2 linked regions of the Pelodiscus sinensis genome follow. The protein of the gene in region 2 interacts with the protein of the main gene of each other region in a pairwise test. Links are inferred from orthologs where the notes say so. Each region holds a gene or a part of one and is shown on either strand. Other genes may lie near its edges.

Region 1 (7,388 bases), on a different chromosome or scaffold from region 2:
CCAGGCCAGCCCCGGGCACCTCCCTGCAACCGCCTCTGCCTCCCTCCGCCCAGGGCAGGAGGGGCAAGAATTACTGCTGGGGGCCCACTCCTAAAATGTGGCTAGTGGTCTAGGGCCATGCTCCTCCGTGGTATCATAGAATCATAGGACTGGCAGGGACCTCGAGAGGTCATCGAGTCCAGCCCCCTGCCCTCAAGGCAGGACCAAGCTCCGTCCACACCATCCCTGACAGATGTCTATCTAACCTGTTCTTAAATATCTCCAGAGAGGGAGATTCCACCACCTCCCTTGGCAATTTATTCCAATATTTGACCACCCTGACAGTTAGGAATTTTTTCCTAATGTCCAATCTAAACCTCCCCTGCTGCACTTTAAGCCCATTACTCCTTGTCCTGTCCTCAGAAACCAAGAGGAACAAATTTTCTCCTTCCTCCTTGTGACACCCTTTTAGATATTTGAAAACCGCTATCATGTCCCCCCTTAATCTTCTTTTTTCCAAACTAAACAAGCCCAGTTCATGAAGCCTGGCTTCATAGGTCATGTTCTCTAGACCTTTAATCATTCTTGTCGCTCTTCTCTGTACCCTTTCCAATTTCTCCACATCTTTCTTGAAATGTGGCACCCAGAACTGGACACAGTACTCCAGCTGAGGCCTAACTAGTGCAGAGTAGAGCGGCAGAATGACTTCACGAGTTTTGCTTACAACACACCTGTTGATACAACCTAGAATCATATTTGCTTTTTTTGCAACAGCATCACACTGTTGACTCATATTCAACTTGTGGTCCACTATGACCCCTAGATCCCTTTCCGCCATGCTCCTTCCCAGACAGTCGCTTCCCATCTTGTATGTCCCCCCATCACAGCCCCATCATAATTGCAGGACATGTCGTCACGCCCCCGGAGGGGGGTCGGCACAGACACACCAGGTCTAATCATTGGGACTGGGGGGAGGCGCCTCCGAAAATCCCGATGCCCCCCCGCCTGGATGTCCCCAAGACCGGCCATGTCTCGGCGGCACGGCCTCTTCAGGGGCAGGGGCTCCGAGCCGACCCCTGGGCGGTGCCGGTCCCGCTACCCCTAACGGCCGAGCGCACGTTTCCGGGGACCCAGAGCAGCGGGTGTGCGGGAGTCTCCCTCGTGTTTTAGACTGTACATTTCAATCGGTCACGAGACCCCCCTCCCAATGTTCCCCTGCCCCGTTTCTGGCCCCACTAAGGGGACCCAGAAGCCAAGGGGCTCTGGGAGGGGGATCCGGTTGCCGGCCTCCCCCCGTGAAGGGCGGGGCAGCCAGGCCATCGGACTCGGCACTCACGTGGTGAGGTCCCAGAGGCGCAGGGTGCCGTCCCAGGAGCCGGACAGGGCGAATTGCCCGTCGGAGGAGATGACCACGTCGCTGACGAAGTGCGAGTGGCCGCGCAGGGCCCGCTGCGGGATCCCGTAGTTGGTCTCGTCCCGCGTCAGCTTCCACATGATGATGGTTTTGTCTGCGCCCGGGGCGGGGGGGGCGTTAGTTCGCTCCCAGGGAGCTTTGGGGCCCCCTTGTCTCCCCAACCGGCGGCTCTTCCCATAGCGCTCTGCTCCCGCTCCGTCCCGGCACCCTCAGCTCTCGCATTCATGATCCTCAGCCCCCAGCAGGGTCAACGCACAACCAGTTTAATCATCGGGGCTGGGAGGAGGGGCGCAGAGCAGCCGGGCCCACCTGGGCAGAGCCCACCAGCAACCGGGTCAGCGCGGCCTGGCACAGCTCCGGGCAGGCGGACTCGGGAAGGCCCCAGGGCCCCTTTCTACGGGGCCACCCCCCCCATGGTGTTTGGGTCTCCACCCCCAGCCCAGCCCCCCTGCGTCAGCTACCTGAGGCGCCCCCCAACTCGGCCCTATCCCAGCAGCTCTACCAGTCACTGCCTCCCAGGTAGGACGGGCCTCACTGATGGGGAAACTGAGGCTGGGGGGAAATGCGGCCCGGAGGCACCCAGGGCCAGGAGGAGCCTCCGAGGTTGAGAGGCGCATGGAGGGGAGAGGGAATGGGGGGGGGGGGGGGACGGACAGGTGGGCGGGCAGGCCCCCGGCGAGGGGAGGAGGGGAAAGAAGAGCCGGGCACTGAACCCAAGCGCCCAGAGGCCCGGCCTGGAGCCTCCGAACCACCCCCAGGGGGGAATTTAACCCCCCACGCCCCAAGGTGCACCCCCAACCCCTTAGCCCCTCCCCCCACACCCCAAGGTGCATCCCCAACCCCTTAGCCCCTCCCCCCACACCCCAAGGTGCACCCCCGCCCCTTAGCCCCTCCCCCCACGTCCCAAGGTGCACCCCCGCCCCTTAGCCCCTCCCCCCACGGTGCACCCCCAACCCCTTAGCCCCTCCCCCACGCCTCAAGGTGCCCCCTTGCCCTGCCCCCCATCCCCTGGGGCCCCTCCCCCAGGCACCCCAACTCTGTGCCCCTCCCCCCAGCCACGTGGTCTGACCCACAAGACTGACCCCCCCCCGCTGAATGGTTCTTTCCCCTCCCCCCCCCGCACATGGACTCCCCCATTGCCCCCCTCTGCACTGAGATGGTCCCTCCCCCGCCACGTGGGCGAGTTGGTCTCTCCCTGCCGCTCCCCCACGTTTCCCCCCACCCGGGTGGTCTTTCCCGTCTCCCCCGCGCCGGGGGGGAGATGGTCTCTCCCGGGAGGGGAGGGGGCTCGACTAAGGAGATGGTCTCGCCCAACCGCCCGTGGCGCACGCGGGGGCAGATGGTGTCTCCCAACGGCCGCCCCGCGAGGGGAGCGCGCGCGGGCCGGGGGGATGGTCTCGCCCAAGCCCCCCCCCCGCGGGCCGGGGCCGATGGTCCCGCTCACCGCGCGAGGCCGAGAGGATCATGTCCGGGAACTGCGGGGTGGTGGCGATCTGCGTCACCCAGCCGTTGTGGCCCTTCAGCGTCCCGCGCAGCGTCATCTGCTCCGTCATGGCGGCGGATGGCGGCGGATGCGGAGCCGGACTCCCCCCGGCCTGGGCCTGCTCCCGGCGACGGCGAGAGCGGAAAGGAAGCGCCGGCCTGCCCCGGAAGCGGAAGCAGCCGCGGCTGCTTCCGTACGGCAAGATGGCCGCCCCCGGGCGGGAGCAGGGCCCGCAAGATGGCGGCGTTCTAATGGGAGCGACGTCTGCCGCGGAGCCATGGGGGCGGCCATCTTGGTTCCTTTTCCGTACAGCCCTTTCCCACGTGGGGGTGGGGGAGCTGGGTCTTGTGGTCTGGTTACAAAGGCCACGTGAAATAGCAGGGGGCCAATTAACATTAATTAATGTTAATTAATTAATTTTAATCCACTGATTCATTCTAGTCAATTAATGATCACGATGAATATGCAAATTAATCATCAGGTGAATATGCAAATGTGAGAGCTAATTAGCATGCAAAATAGGCGAGCTAATTAGCATGCGGAATATGTAAAATAATTCAGCATCCACACTGCCCTCTGGCGCAAGAGCTCCTGTGGAAGAGGGCTTACCCCTGTTAGAAGAGCGTGTAGCTCTCACGCAAGAAGCCCTCTCTTCCCACGCCGTGCTGTAAATTCCCTTGCGTGAGAGCGGGCGGGCCGTGTGGACGCTTTGCGGATTCTTCCGCAAGAACAGCCGCACTTGCGCAGGAAGCCGCGAGTGTAGCTATAACCTAAGTGTTTTCATAATCCATCCTACTAATTGTCCTTTGACTCCAATAAACCGTTGGCTTCCCGTAATGGCTGCGACAGTTGCTTTCAGAAGTTTATCTGTGAACATGCATTTCCTTGTTCCTGTTTTTAAAGTGTCCGCCCTTTCATTTCATTAGTTGCTCTTTCTCCTTCTTTGATATGAGAGAGAGGAAATCATAGAATCCTAGGATACCAGGACTGGAAGGGATGTCAAGAGGTCATCGAGTCCAGCCCCCTGCCCTCACGGCAGGACCAAATACTGTCTAGACCATCCCTGATAGACATTTATCTAACCTGCTCTTCAATATCTCCAGAGATGGGGATTCCACAACCTCCCTGGGCAATTTATTCCAGTGTTTGACCATCCTGACAGGCAGGAACTTTTTCCTAATGTCCAACCTAAACCTCCCTTGCTGCAGTTTAAGCCCATTGCTTCTTGTTCTATCCTCAGAGGCCAAGATGAACAAGTTTTCTCCCTCCTCCTTGTGACACCCTTTTAGATACCTGAAAATGGCTCTCATGTCCCCCTTCAGTCTTCTCCTTTCCAAACTAAACAAACCCAATTCTTTCAGCCTTCCCTCCTAGCTCCTGTTCTCTCGACCTTTCATCATTCTTGTTGCTCTTCTCTTGACCCTCTCCAACTTCTCCACATCTTTCTTGAAATGTGGTGCCCAGAACTGGACACAATCCTCCAACTGAGGCCTAACCAGCGCAGAGGAACGGAGGAATAAAAGCACAGAACCCTAGACCCAGCAGGGAACTCGAGAGCCATCAAGTCCAGTCCCCTGCCCTCACGGCAGGACCCAGCACCGTCTAGACCAGCGTTTCTCAACCAGGGTATGAGTCCCCTCAGGGGTACCCGAGAGACATCTGGGGGGTAAGTTTGCACCACTGAAATGTGGAGAAAACTGAATTTTTGTTTTAAGTTTTACAGCGTTGTATCGTTCTGTACTTTTCACACCGAAACATTTTATCACCCCCTCTGTGACGCTGAAGTTGTTTAAACATGTTGCAATGGCAGAAAAAAAACCATTGCGTTTTGAAAAAACTGTAGGTACTGGGGGTACTTACAATTTTTTTTAAAAGGGGTCCTCCCCCCCCCCCCCCCCCCGCATCCCCCTCCTGTTCTGAAACGTGATTTGTCCTTTTCATATTTGTTCATTTTTTTAATTGTATCCTTTGGTATATATGGTTGTGACTATTTTCTTCCACTAGTTGATCTGAGGAAGTGGGTCTGGCCCATGAAAGCTCATCACCTAATAAACCATCTTGTTAGTCTTTAAAGTGCTACATAGTCCTGTATTTTGTTTCATACAAAAAGATTGAGAATCACTGGCATAGGACCAGAAAACTTCAGGACCAGACTTCAAAGAGAAACTGCTGAGCTACAGCACAATGTAGCACTTTAAAGACTAACAAGATGGTTTATTATAATTATTATTATTATTATTTCTATCACTATGCTGAGCTACAGTTCATCTTCAAGTTTGACACCATCAGCTCAGGATTAAACAAAGACTGTGAATGGCTCGCTAACTACAAAAGCAGCTTCTCCTCTCTTGCTATTCACACCTCCAGATCAGCTACTAGAAGTGGGCCTCATCCTCCCTGATTGGATCCACCTCGTCATCTCCAGCCTGATCCTGGCCTGCATATTTATACCTGCCTCTGGAAATTTCCACTACATGCATCTGACGAAGTGGGTCTTTGCCCACGAAAGCTTATGCTCCTACACTTCAGTTAGTCTATAAGGTGCCACAGGACTCCTCGCTGCACTGGCATAGACCAGTTTTAGCCTAGTAATACTGGGAGGCAAAGAAACTGAAACAGTTCCCTTGGAAAAACAGTTTCGTACCATGGTATTTCTTTCAGATAACTCTTTATCTCTCCAGTATTAACAGCATGCAATAAACTTATTTGCCTTGACGTGGATGTTATGTGGAGAGTCTCACGTTGTTCAGCAGTATTCAGGTAGGTGATCTTTGCTCCTCTACATACCGTTTGGTCTGGGTTTTTCTCCCCCGGACTCACTCTGCGGCCTTTATTCTTTAGCCGAACATTTCATGTGAAATGGATCCTGGTCCTCGGAGGGCCACCGCTAAACCACCGTCCGTTTCGTACTTTGCCTGCAAATGATGCTAGAGCTATTCGCTGAGACCGGAGGCGTGTGCTTTCTTTCGCTGGCCACTCGCGTGGGGTCCGGGAGCAGAACCCTCTACCGTCACTAGCCCAGCGGGCTGCAGGAAGACGGGGAGCCATAGGAAACGACGTTCTTCTGCTGCGCTCTTGGTACGTTACCGGGGGATGTTTTATGGGATTTCCGGGAAGCTACTTTCTCCTCGCGGTCTCAAAGAAGGGGCACAGAGGAGAGTTGCGCCCTGTGGCCGGGTGTTTTCTGCTCGGGCCCCTTAATTCAGCACATTGTTCTGTTTTGGAAATGAAAACGAAAAAGTCCAAAGTTTGTTACAGTCGTTGCTCTGGGGCTGGGGGTGGGAGTGAGGGGTTCCGGCTGCCCTCGGTCACCGCAGCAGCTTGTGGCCAGGGGAGAAGCCCCGCTCCATGGCCACTGCAGCTCCAGGGGGCACAGCCGAGGGGAGAGGTGCATGCTCCCCACCCGGGGCAGATCCAGGTTCATCTGCCCCCCTGCACCTCCCAGCCAGAGTGAGAAAAGCAGCAAAGTGCACACTTTCCCCTCACGCCCTGAGGAAGGGGAGCAGCCAGACTTGTTGACCTATGAATCGAGGGGGGATTGTTTCAGCCCCCCCCTTCCCCAAGTGCCTACAAGGGTGGGAGGTTCGGGGCTGGGGCAGTCCCTGTTGGGGGGAGGTGCACTTTAACCTGCCTAGTGATTCTGCCTCTTTTCTGCAGGGTTTTCTGAGAACAGACAGACAGACACATCGACTGTCCCAAACCTAGAGCAGATCTGGAAGTTTTTGCTTGTAGAACCACCTCCCCCACTACCAGAGGGACTAGGTCTCAGGGCAGCTGAGGCAAAGTTCTTCCAACTGTAGTGTGGAGTTTGGGGCTCCAGTGGGGAACCTGGCAGAAGAGGTGGGGGGGGGGGCTTTGGACACAACAGGTTGGGGCTGAGGACCTGTCCCTGTCAGCCGACGGTCAGGGCAGTGTGTGTGTGTGTGTTTCCGAGAAAAGGTTTAACGTCCGTGTCTTTACTGCTAGGACCGGGGTCCCGTCGCAGAGGGTGGCCAGCAGGCCAACAGACGCCCCGTTATATAGGAAGAGCTTATTACACCTTAGATTTTAGCTGCTAGAACACAAAGTTCCTTCGCAGAGGGCAGCCTAGGAAAGGCTGGAAAGGTGCCCCAACGGATCTTGTCACCTGGGAGTGACACAGATCCAAACGCCCAAGCTCTCCCTATGTCTGTCCCTTTATGACCGGCTGAAGTTCTTTTAAATTGTGCTTGGTTCTGTTACAGCAACTGAAGGAGTCAGGTTACAGCTTAAACAGTTACAGGTTTATTAAAGAAGCTTATAAATCATATGGTTACAATGGCTATTGCTCTATTTCTTAACTGCTAGCAAATATATATATATAGGTCTTAAAAATGATCACAGGAAAAAGGTAAAGATAGAAAATAGAAATAATGGTACCAAGTGACAGCTTAATCTTTAAAGAGCTCTAAGTCTATGTATATATATACTTAAACAAAGGACACATCCAGGTACAATTTTTACCCCTTTCTGTGCCTCTCGACTCCAGTGTGT
Region 2 (7,029 bases):
CAACTGAGCGGGAGAGACTAGAGACTACAATGCAGAGATACAGAGCAGGAGAGTGCTACTAGACCAGGGTTTCCCAACCTAGGGGTCGGGACCCAAATATGAGTCGCCATTATATTTCAAAAGGGTCACCAGGTGGCTCCCCAGGTGGCTCTTAAGGAGTCATTCACACTTTTTTTTAATTGCCCTGGGTCAACAAGTCTTCCTGAATTGTCAAAATGGGTCCCCATCTGAAAAAGGTTGGGAACCACTGTGCTAGACACTTTACAGTAACTCCTCCCTATTTGGGGAAAGCTAGCTCCTCCTGTGACCTGAAGAGCAGTACCAGTGATCACAGATGCCTGGCAGAGCCTTCAGCTTTGAAGATAATATTACAAGGTACTTTGATAGAAAAGCTGCCTGCCAAATTTAACAGAGAAGAGTTGGGCCTGTACTGTTCAAGCAGCTCTAGCTCCAAATCTTAGCATTCAGAAGTCTTGACCAATTCAAAGTATTAACTTCCAGGAGTTATCCTTCAAAGCCAGCCTAGTGCCAGTCTCACTGTAAACTCCCTGAGGTTCTACTGATGTTTCTTCAGTGCTCAGGGTGACATTGACCTTTCCCCCTAGAACATTTTGGTAAATATCAAGGCAGGCAATGCAACAAACATGGTCACAGATCTTCAGCATCGCTCGGCCACAGAGGTTTAAAATTACAGACTTTCCTATCTCATTTGATATCATACTTGAAAAGGAATCAATTAAAGAGAGATTTGTTGCTCATATTTGAGTGAAATTATGCAGCAATGTAGGCAAGAAACAAACAGAGCTGAGGTCAAAACTAGGTATTGCTGCGCTCTTGAAAAGTCTGAGTCAGCTCTCTAGCACTTCTGGTGTTTATGTTCTTAAAGTTGTCATTCTGGTTCATCAACATGAAGAGACTACCCAACTGAACACTAGCCAAAATACAGCACTGAAGCAGAGATTCTGACAGTTAACCAATAAGGTTATGATTAACCAGTGGGGGCTGGAGCTGCCCCCATCCACAGTGGTGCTACTCCTGCACCTTCCTCCCCGCTCACCCTTGGTTAAACTTAATATTTAACCAGTTAACTAAACAGGATTTTACATCCCTACGCTGAAGCTCTGAGAAGACTAGCACCACACAGAAGCACCCTACGATGTTCAGTTTACTAACCCCTCAGAATAAATCAACTACTAATATAGTGCTCCAAAACATAAATAATTCATTGCAATATCTAGATATACCATATTTACATATGCACAGTTCACTTTGTATTAGAAACAAACAGCAGCCCTGGTAACCAGTTCTATACATAAGGTGCTCAGAGACCACAGAACTTTAAGCAATACAAGAACCAAGATAGAAAAGAATAGTGAACTTTCATATCCACATCGTTCTGGCAGGAATTCTGCAACACTGAACGTAAAAAGTAATATCCTGGCTCCATTAAGCTTATGCAATACAAGCTGCAGTCTGTTTATAGACCCACAAATGCTTGTGGCCAACTTCGTAACATTAGCACTCTTCTTCTAAATCACTTTACAGACATCAGTAGTGTCTAATTAGATCCTTAAATCACTCAGTATGTTTCAATATCATCCAGGCTCATCTCCAAAATGATAAAAGGTAACGACAATCTCAATAAATGCTCAATGTCACCACTCTCCTAAATTATTTTGGCTCATGTACTTGAAATTGTGATGCCTCTACTTACTTTATTTTCAGCACTATTAACAGCAGTTTCCCTGCATTTCTATCAGAAGCACTGTAGCCTTCAACAAAGAATAGACATATTTCTAAAATGTAAAGGTTGTAACTCACACGCCCCCAGTTTAGTTTGCGCATCTCATAATCTGATGTTCTGCTGAAAATTGTTGAGACATGGGAATAAAAACATGAAACGGATAAACTAAATATACTGTTAGCCCTAGCTGAGTCACCCATTGTTGAACAGTGGTACAATTTCAGTTCCAACTGTACTGTTTTAATTCTGAACCAAGACAGTCACTTGATTATATATTTGGACTTAAATATTGCCTCTTTAAAGTAATAAGCAGCTGATCCCCAAGTTACTTTTCCCCCAGAAAAAGCCACGGGAGAGCAAGAGACAGCGAGGGAGGGAGGCCAATCCTAAGATTAGGGTCAGGGAGAAATAGAAGTCAGGCAGTATGTAGGCATATCGCTAGACTCACTAGGTGACCAGGGCCCAGTCCTTTAGTTAGTGTGCGAGGCGGGGGAGGGGGGCGGACTCCCGCCTACTCCTATTTTTAGGCGGGCAACGCACTGTGCCGCTCTCAGGAGCCCGGAGCCGATCCCTTCCCTTCCCTTCCCCCTCCCCGGACAGCGCAGCATCTCCGGCCTCACAGCTATCCTCGGAGATACTCAGCGCGATCAGTCAGAGACCCCGCCCGGCACAGGACAAGGCGGTAGCCGCTGCCAGCCCCAGCCCCGAGCAGCAGGTACCCGCAGCTCCCCCCACCGACACACGCTCCCGCGTCCCGGCCCACCGCCCAACCAGCCCCCGCCGAGCACAGCTGAACTGTCTCCCGCCCGCCCCGGCTGGTGTGCGCGGGCCGGGCCGCCCCCCGTACCCGGCTGCGGCGGGGCTCCGGGCGCCGCAGGGCTCTCGGGCTGCAGGACCTTGCGCTCTTTCTGGGACTCCCTCTTGCCAGCGGCGGGGCCGGGCCTGGGGCCGGGACCGGGGCCGGGTTTCCTGGCGGCGGCGGCGGCCTCATCGCGCTTCCTGCGCTGCTGCTGGCGGCGCTCGGCCTCGCGGAGGACGTCGAAGGGGTCGGACTCGTCGTCCAGCAGCTGGTGGAAGCGGTTGGCGACGGCGCAGCCGAAACTCTCCTGCATGGCGGCGGCCACCGGGCTGCCCAGCGCCCCCTTCATCATCGCCGCGGCCACCCCGCCACCTCCGGGCGGCGGCGGCAGCTGCGGGCGCTACCAGGGCGCAACCGAGGCGCGCGGCAGGGCAGGAGCAAGGGACGGGCACAGAGCCGGGCCCGGCTCAGCAGGGCCGCCACAACCTCGCCATCGCCACTCGGTCCGTCCCGTCCCCTCGAGCGCCGCTGACCAACCAAAGCGCGTGCACCTCTCGCGGCCCGCCGCCAATCAGCGCACTGCACTGCGCTGCGCCCCCCCCCTCCTCCGCGAGCTCAGGCAACCAATCCCAGCCGCGGTAAAGCGCCACCAACCAATCAGCGCATTTGGTCCGGCCCAGTGAGGGCCATGGGAGCCAATCAAAGCCATGGGATGGCCACACGCCACCGACCAATAAAGTGACTGTGTCGTCACTGCGGGTAGCTTTGCCTCAGTTCTCAGCCCGCGTGCAGCATGTAACTGTTTCTCCTCCCCCCCCCCCCCCCGTGTGGCAAATCATTCTGTATGCCGCTTTTGATTATTCATGAGCAAATGTGGCCCGGATGAAGCAGGCAGTGGCGGGGCCCGGGCCCGGCAGACCACAGCCAATGGGCGGGGCTCCCTTTGCGCACAGCGCCAGGCCAGTGTCTCCCTGCGCCTCTCAGGGTTGTGAGATGTTTTGCCCCCAAAGTGTCACAGATCATTCCAGCCCCCATCTTGGTGCAGCCAGCTGGCATGAAGAATCTTTGCATCCACCTACGACCACCTCTGGAGGGGATGATTATACTGCAACCGAAAATCCCTTCGAGCACCATACTTAAGTGTCTGCATTGTACGGGACAGCCCCAGAGCTGGGTCCCTATTATTGGTAGTTAGGGCTGGATTTACAATTAGGTCCAGCAAACACATGCCAATGGGTGCCTAAAAATTAGAAGTGAGTTAAAAGATTCATTTTTAATGGAAAATGGAGGTCCTATAGGTAGAGAGCGTACTAAAAAGTGTGTATGGAGGGTGTAAACCTTGCCAGACTTGTAGGGCAAACCAACATACTCTAAGTGCTTTGGGACTGAGAGTCAAAGGCCTTTGTCAAATCAATGAGGATATAAGTAGATCCTACTTTTGCTCCAGTAACTTTTCCTGGATTTGGCAGGCAATGAAGATCATGTCAATTGTCCTACAGGATGGTCTACAACCACACTGATATTCTGGCCATATTTCTTCAGCAAGAGGAAGTACTGTAATTTGTTTAAGAGCATATGGGCAAGAATTTTTCCCTGTTGCAGATAACAAAGCAATAACTCAATAATTAACATACTCTGACTTGTTACCATTTTTAAGAATGGAGACAAGACATTGTAACTCATGTCTTCTGGAATCTTCTCATTATACCAGATATGAAGAAAAAAATTGTGGATCTTCCTTGCCACTTCTTCTCCAAATTTGTGGACTTCAATTAGTATGCCATCTGGCCCTGCTGACCTGTTGTTCTTGGTTTGCATAATTGCTCATGTTACTTCTTCAAGAGGGGAAGATCAACAAGTGATTCTTTTTCATGTTGTTGTGGTTTATATTTGCTAGTGGCATCAGAAAAAGTTGACTCACAATGCTCAAAATGCTACTTCCATCTGGCTTTGGTGTCCTTAAAATATTTTAACCCATCTTGGGCTCAGAGTGCTGTGAGTCCTCGGAAGCATGGACTGTAAATGGCCCTTATTACCTGAAAAAAGCTCCTTGTGTCATGTTTAATAGCATAAAGCTCAAAGTCCTTGGCTTTTTCTCACTACCATTTATTTTTTATATCAAAGACTTTCCTTTGGTCTCAAGCCTTTAGTTGCTTATATGACTCTTTCTTCGGCGGGTATGTCATTTTACCACATGCCATGTTCTTTTCTTTTCTGGTTGAACAGACCCTGAAACTCAGCATTATTCTCATCAAACCAGTCTCAGCAATGTGTCCATCACAAAGTCCTGTAGAAGGGTTTAGCCAAATTTGGGTTACCCTCCAAAATGTATTAAGATTCTAAGGTTTTTCTGTGATCAAATCATTGCCACAGTTCTCTGTAATGGTCTTTAGAGGGAACCTTTCTTCATCAAAACTGGGATTAAGCAAGGATATGTTATTGCCCAAATACTGTATTTAGCAGTCTTTTTCATCCTCGTTAAAGATCACCTCTCCAATTTCATTGACATAAAATATGGAATGGATGGGCAGCTCTTTAATCTTCTATGTCTCTGTTCGAAATCTAGTGTTTAGGGAGACCATTACTGATCTTCATTATGCTGATGACTGTGTCATCTTTGCACACACTGAAAATGACCATCAGATCATACTGAATTTCCTTGCCCAAGCTTACCACTCAATATTGGCTTGGCACTCAATATTGAGAAAACTAAAGTGTTCTGTCAAGTTGCTTAAGTCTTGCACATGACCCACCACAAATCACTATCAAAGATCAGACTTCTGGAGATAGTTAAGCACTTTTGCTACCTCAGTAGCCAACTTTCTCAAAGCACAAAAATCAACACTGAGGTCCAGCACAGGATCCAGTGTGCAAGTGATTTCTCTGGAAAATTTATATGATGTATTTTCATAGACCATGAATGACCTAGAGCAGAACACCAAGATCCTACACTCCTTTGTGAATGCAAAACCTGGGTGATCTATTGATAGCACAATAATCTGGAGAGGTATCACCAATAATACATCCAACCAGGGGTGCCCATTTCAGATTTTGGTGGGAAAGGCTGACCTGTGCAGGCCGTGATGGGTGGGAAGAGATTGAAAGTAGGAGGGGGAAGACTGAGGACGGAGACTTCATCCATGTTACTGAGCATGGTCAGTACAAGCCAAGCGCTTAATGGAGAAGGGAGGAACCAACCCCATCCGCTCTCCCCTCCATACACATCATCTATTCAGGGGCTACCAAAGTACTTGAAAACTCTACTTTTTTGGTAGACAATTTAGCGGTTAGCTGACAGGAGCACTGTATCTAATTCCTATATAAAAGAAAGAAAATTAAATAAATATTAGACACGGTCAGCTCTAGCACTAACATATTCTGACATCTTATGGCAAGTCACTTAAGGGATACTGGTTAGCCTTAAAATTGTAATGTATATTCTTACTTTGTTACTAACTCTATGGAGAGAGAGAGAGACCCCATCAGAACTCCTGGGCTCTGTCTCAGCTCTGGAAGAGGAGTGGAATCTAGTAGGTTACAGCAAGAGGGCAGATACATTTCAGCTCTATAAAAGATCAGAATGGCAATCAGACCAAAAGTCTTTCTAGCCCAGTGTCCTATGTTCCAACAGTGGTCTATGCCATGTCCTTCAGAAGGAATAAACAGAAGAAGCAATCATCATGATCCCTTGTCACCCATTCCCAGCTCTGGCAAACAGAAGCTAGGGACACCATCCCTGCCCATTCTGGCTAGTAAGCCATAGATGGACCTATCCTCCTTGAACTTATTTTGTTTTTATTGGAACCCTGCCATAGTTTGGGCTTTTCCACCATTTCCTGACAAAGAGTTCCACAAATTGATTGTGAAAAAATAATTTGTTTTAAATCTGCTGCCTATAAATTTAATTGGGTCAGCTTCTTGTGTTATGTTATTTATTTCTTTGCTAACATTTCCTTATTTTATTTTTCCACACCATTCCTGATTTTCATTTACTAGATATCCCCCATCCTTTAATTATTTCTTTTAAAAGCTGAGAAGTCCCAGTGTTTTTGATCTCTCCCAATATGGAAGCTGTTCCTTACCCCTAATAATTTCTGTTGCTCTTTCTGTATCTTTTTAGATGGGTTGACCATGCTGCTCTAGGCAAAGATCCAAAATGGAGTCTGAGGAGTTTAAAAATGGAGTCTTAGGGGTTTTTCTCCCTCAAACAGCTTTCCTGCCAAAACCTATAGGGAAGAAGGCTTTGCACTCCTCCCTGTCACCTATGCACACGGCTCCAGGCCTTTGCACTCTGCACTATGTCATGCGTGCGCATCTTTTCTCTGCACACCACCCTCTTTCCTTGTGCACACCGCCCACTCTAGCTGCACCCCTCTCACCCATTTTCCCACCTCAACTCCTTTATAAGCCTCCCCCCAAGGAGCATTCGTGTTGCTTGGATCTCCTTCGTCCATCTGTGTGTGTCGTCGTCTACCCCGAGGAGTCC

Evidence for each region.
Region 1: the proteins of HABP4 (region 2) and RACK1 interact in a two-hybrid assay, tested with the Homo sapiens proteins (2 studies listed by BioGRID). The link is inferred for Pelodiscus sinensis from reciprocal best matches to the Homo sapiens genes HABP4 and RACK1.

The regions. Positions count from the first base shown.
Region 1 is NC_134742.1:1,208,695-1,216,082, reverse strand, and holds the start of RACK1 (small ribosomal subunit protein RACK1), read right to left. Parts: upstream 3,039-7,388; 5' UTR 2,947-3,038; coding exon 2,838-2,946; intron 1,488-2,837; coding exon 1,316-1,487; intron 1-1,315. UniProt on the Homo sapiens protein: Scaffolding protein involved in the recruitment, assembly and/or regulation of a variety of signaling molecules. Interacts with a wide variety of proteins and plays a role in many cellular processes.
Region 2 is NC_134716.1:43,957,058-43,964,086, reverse strand, and holds the start of HABP4 (intracellular hyaluronan-binding protein 4), read right to left. Parts: upstream 3,106-7,029; 5' UTR 2,896-3,105; coding exon 2,592-2,895; intron 1-2,591. UniProt on the Homo sapiens protein: Ribosome-binding protein that promotes ribosome hibernation, a process during which ribosomes are stabilized in an inactive state and preserved from proteasomal degradation.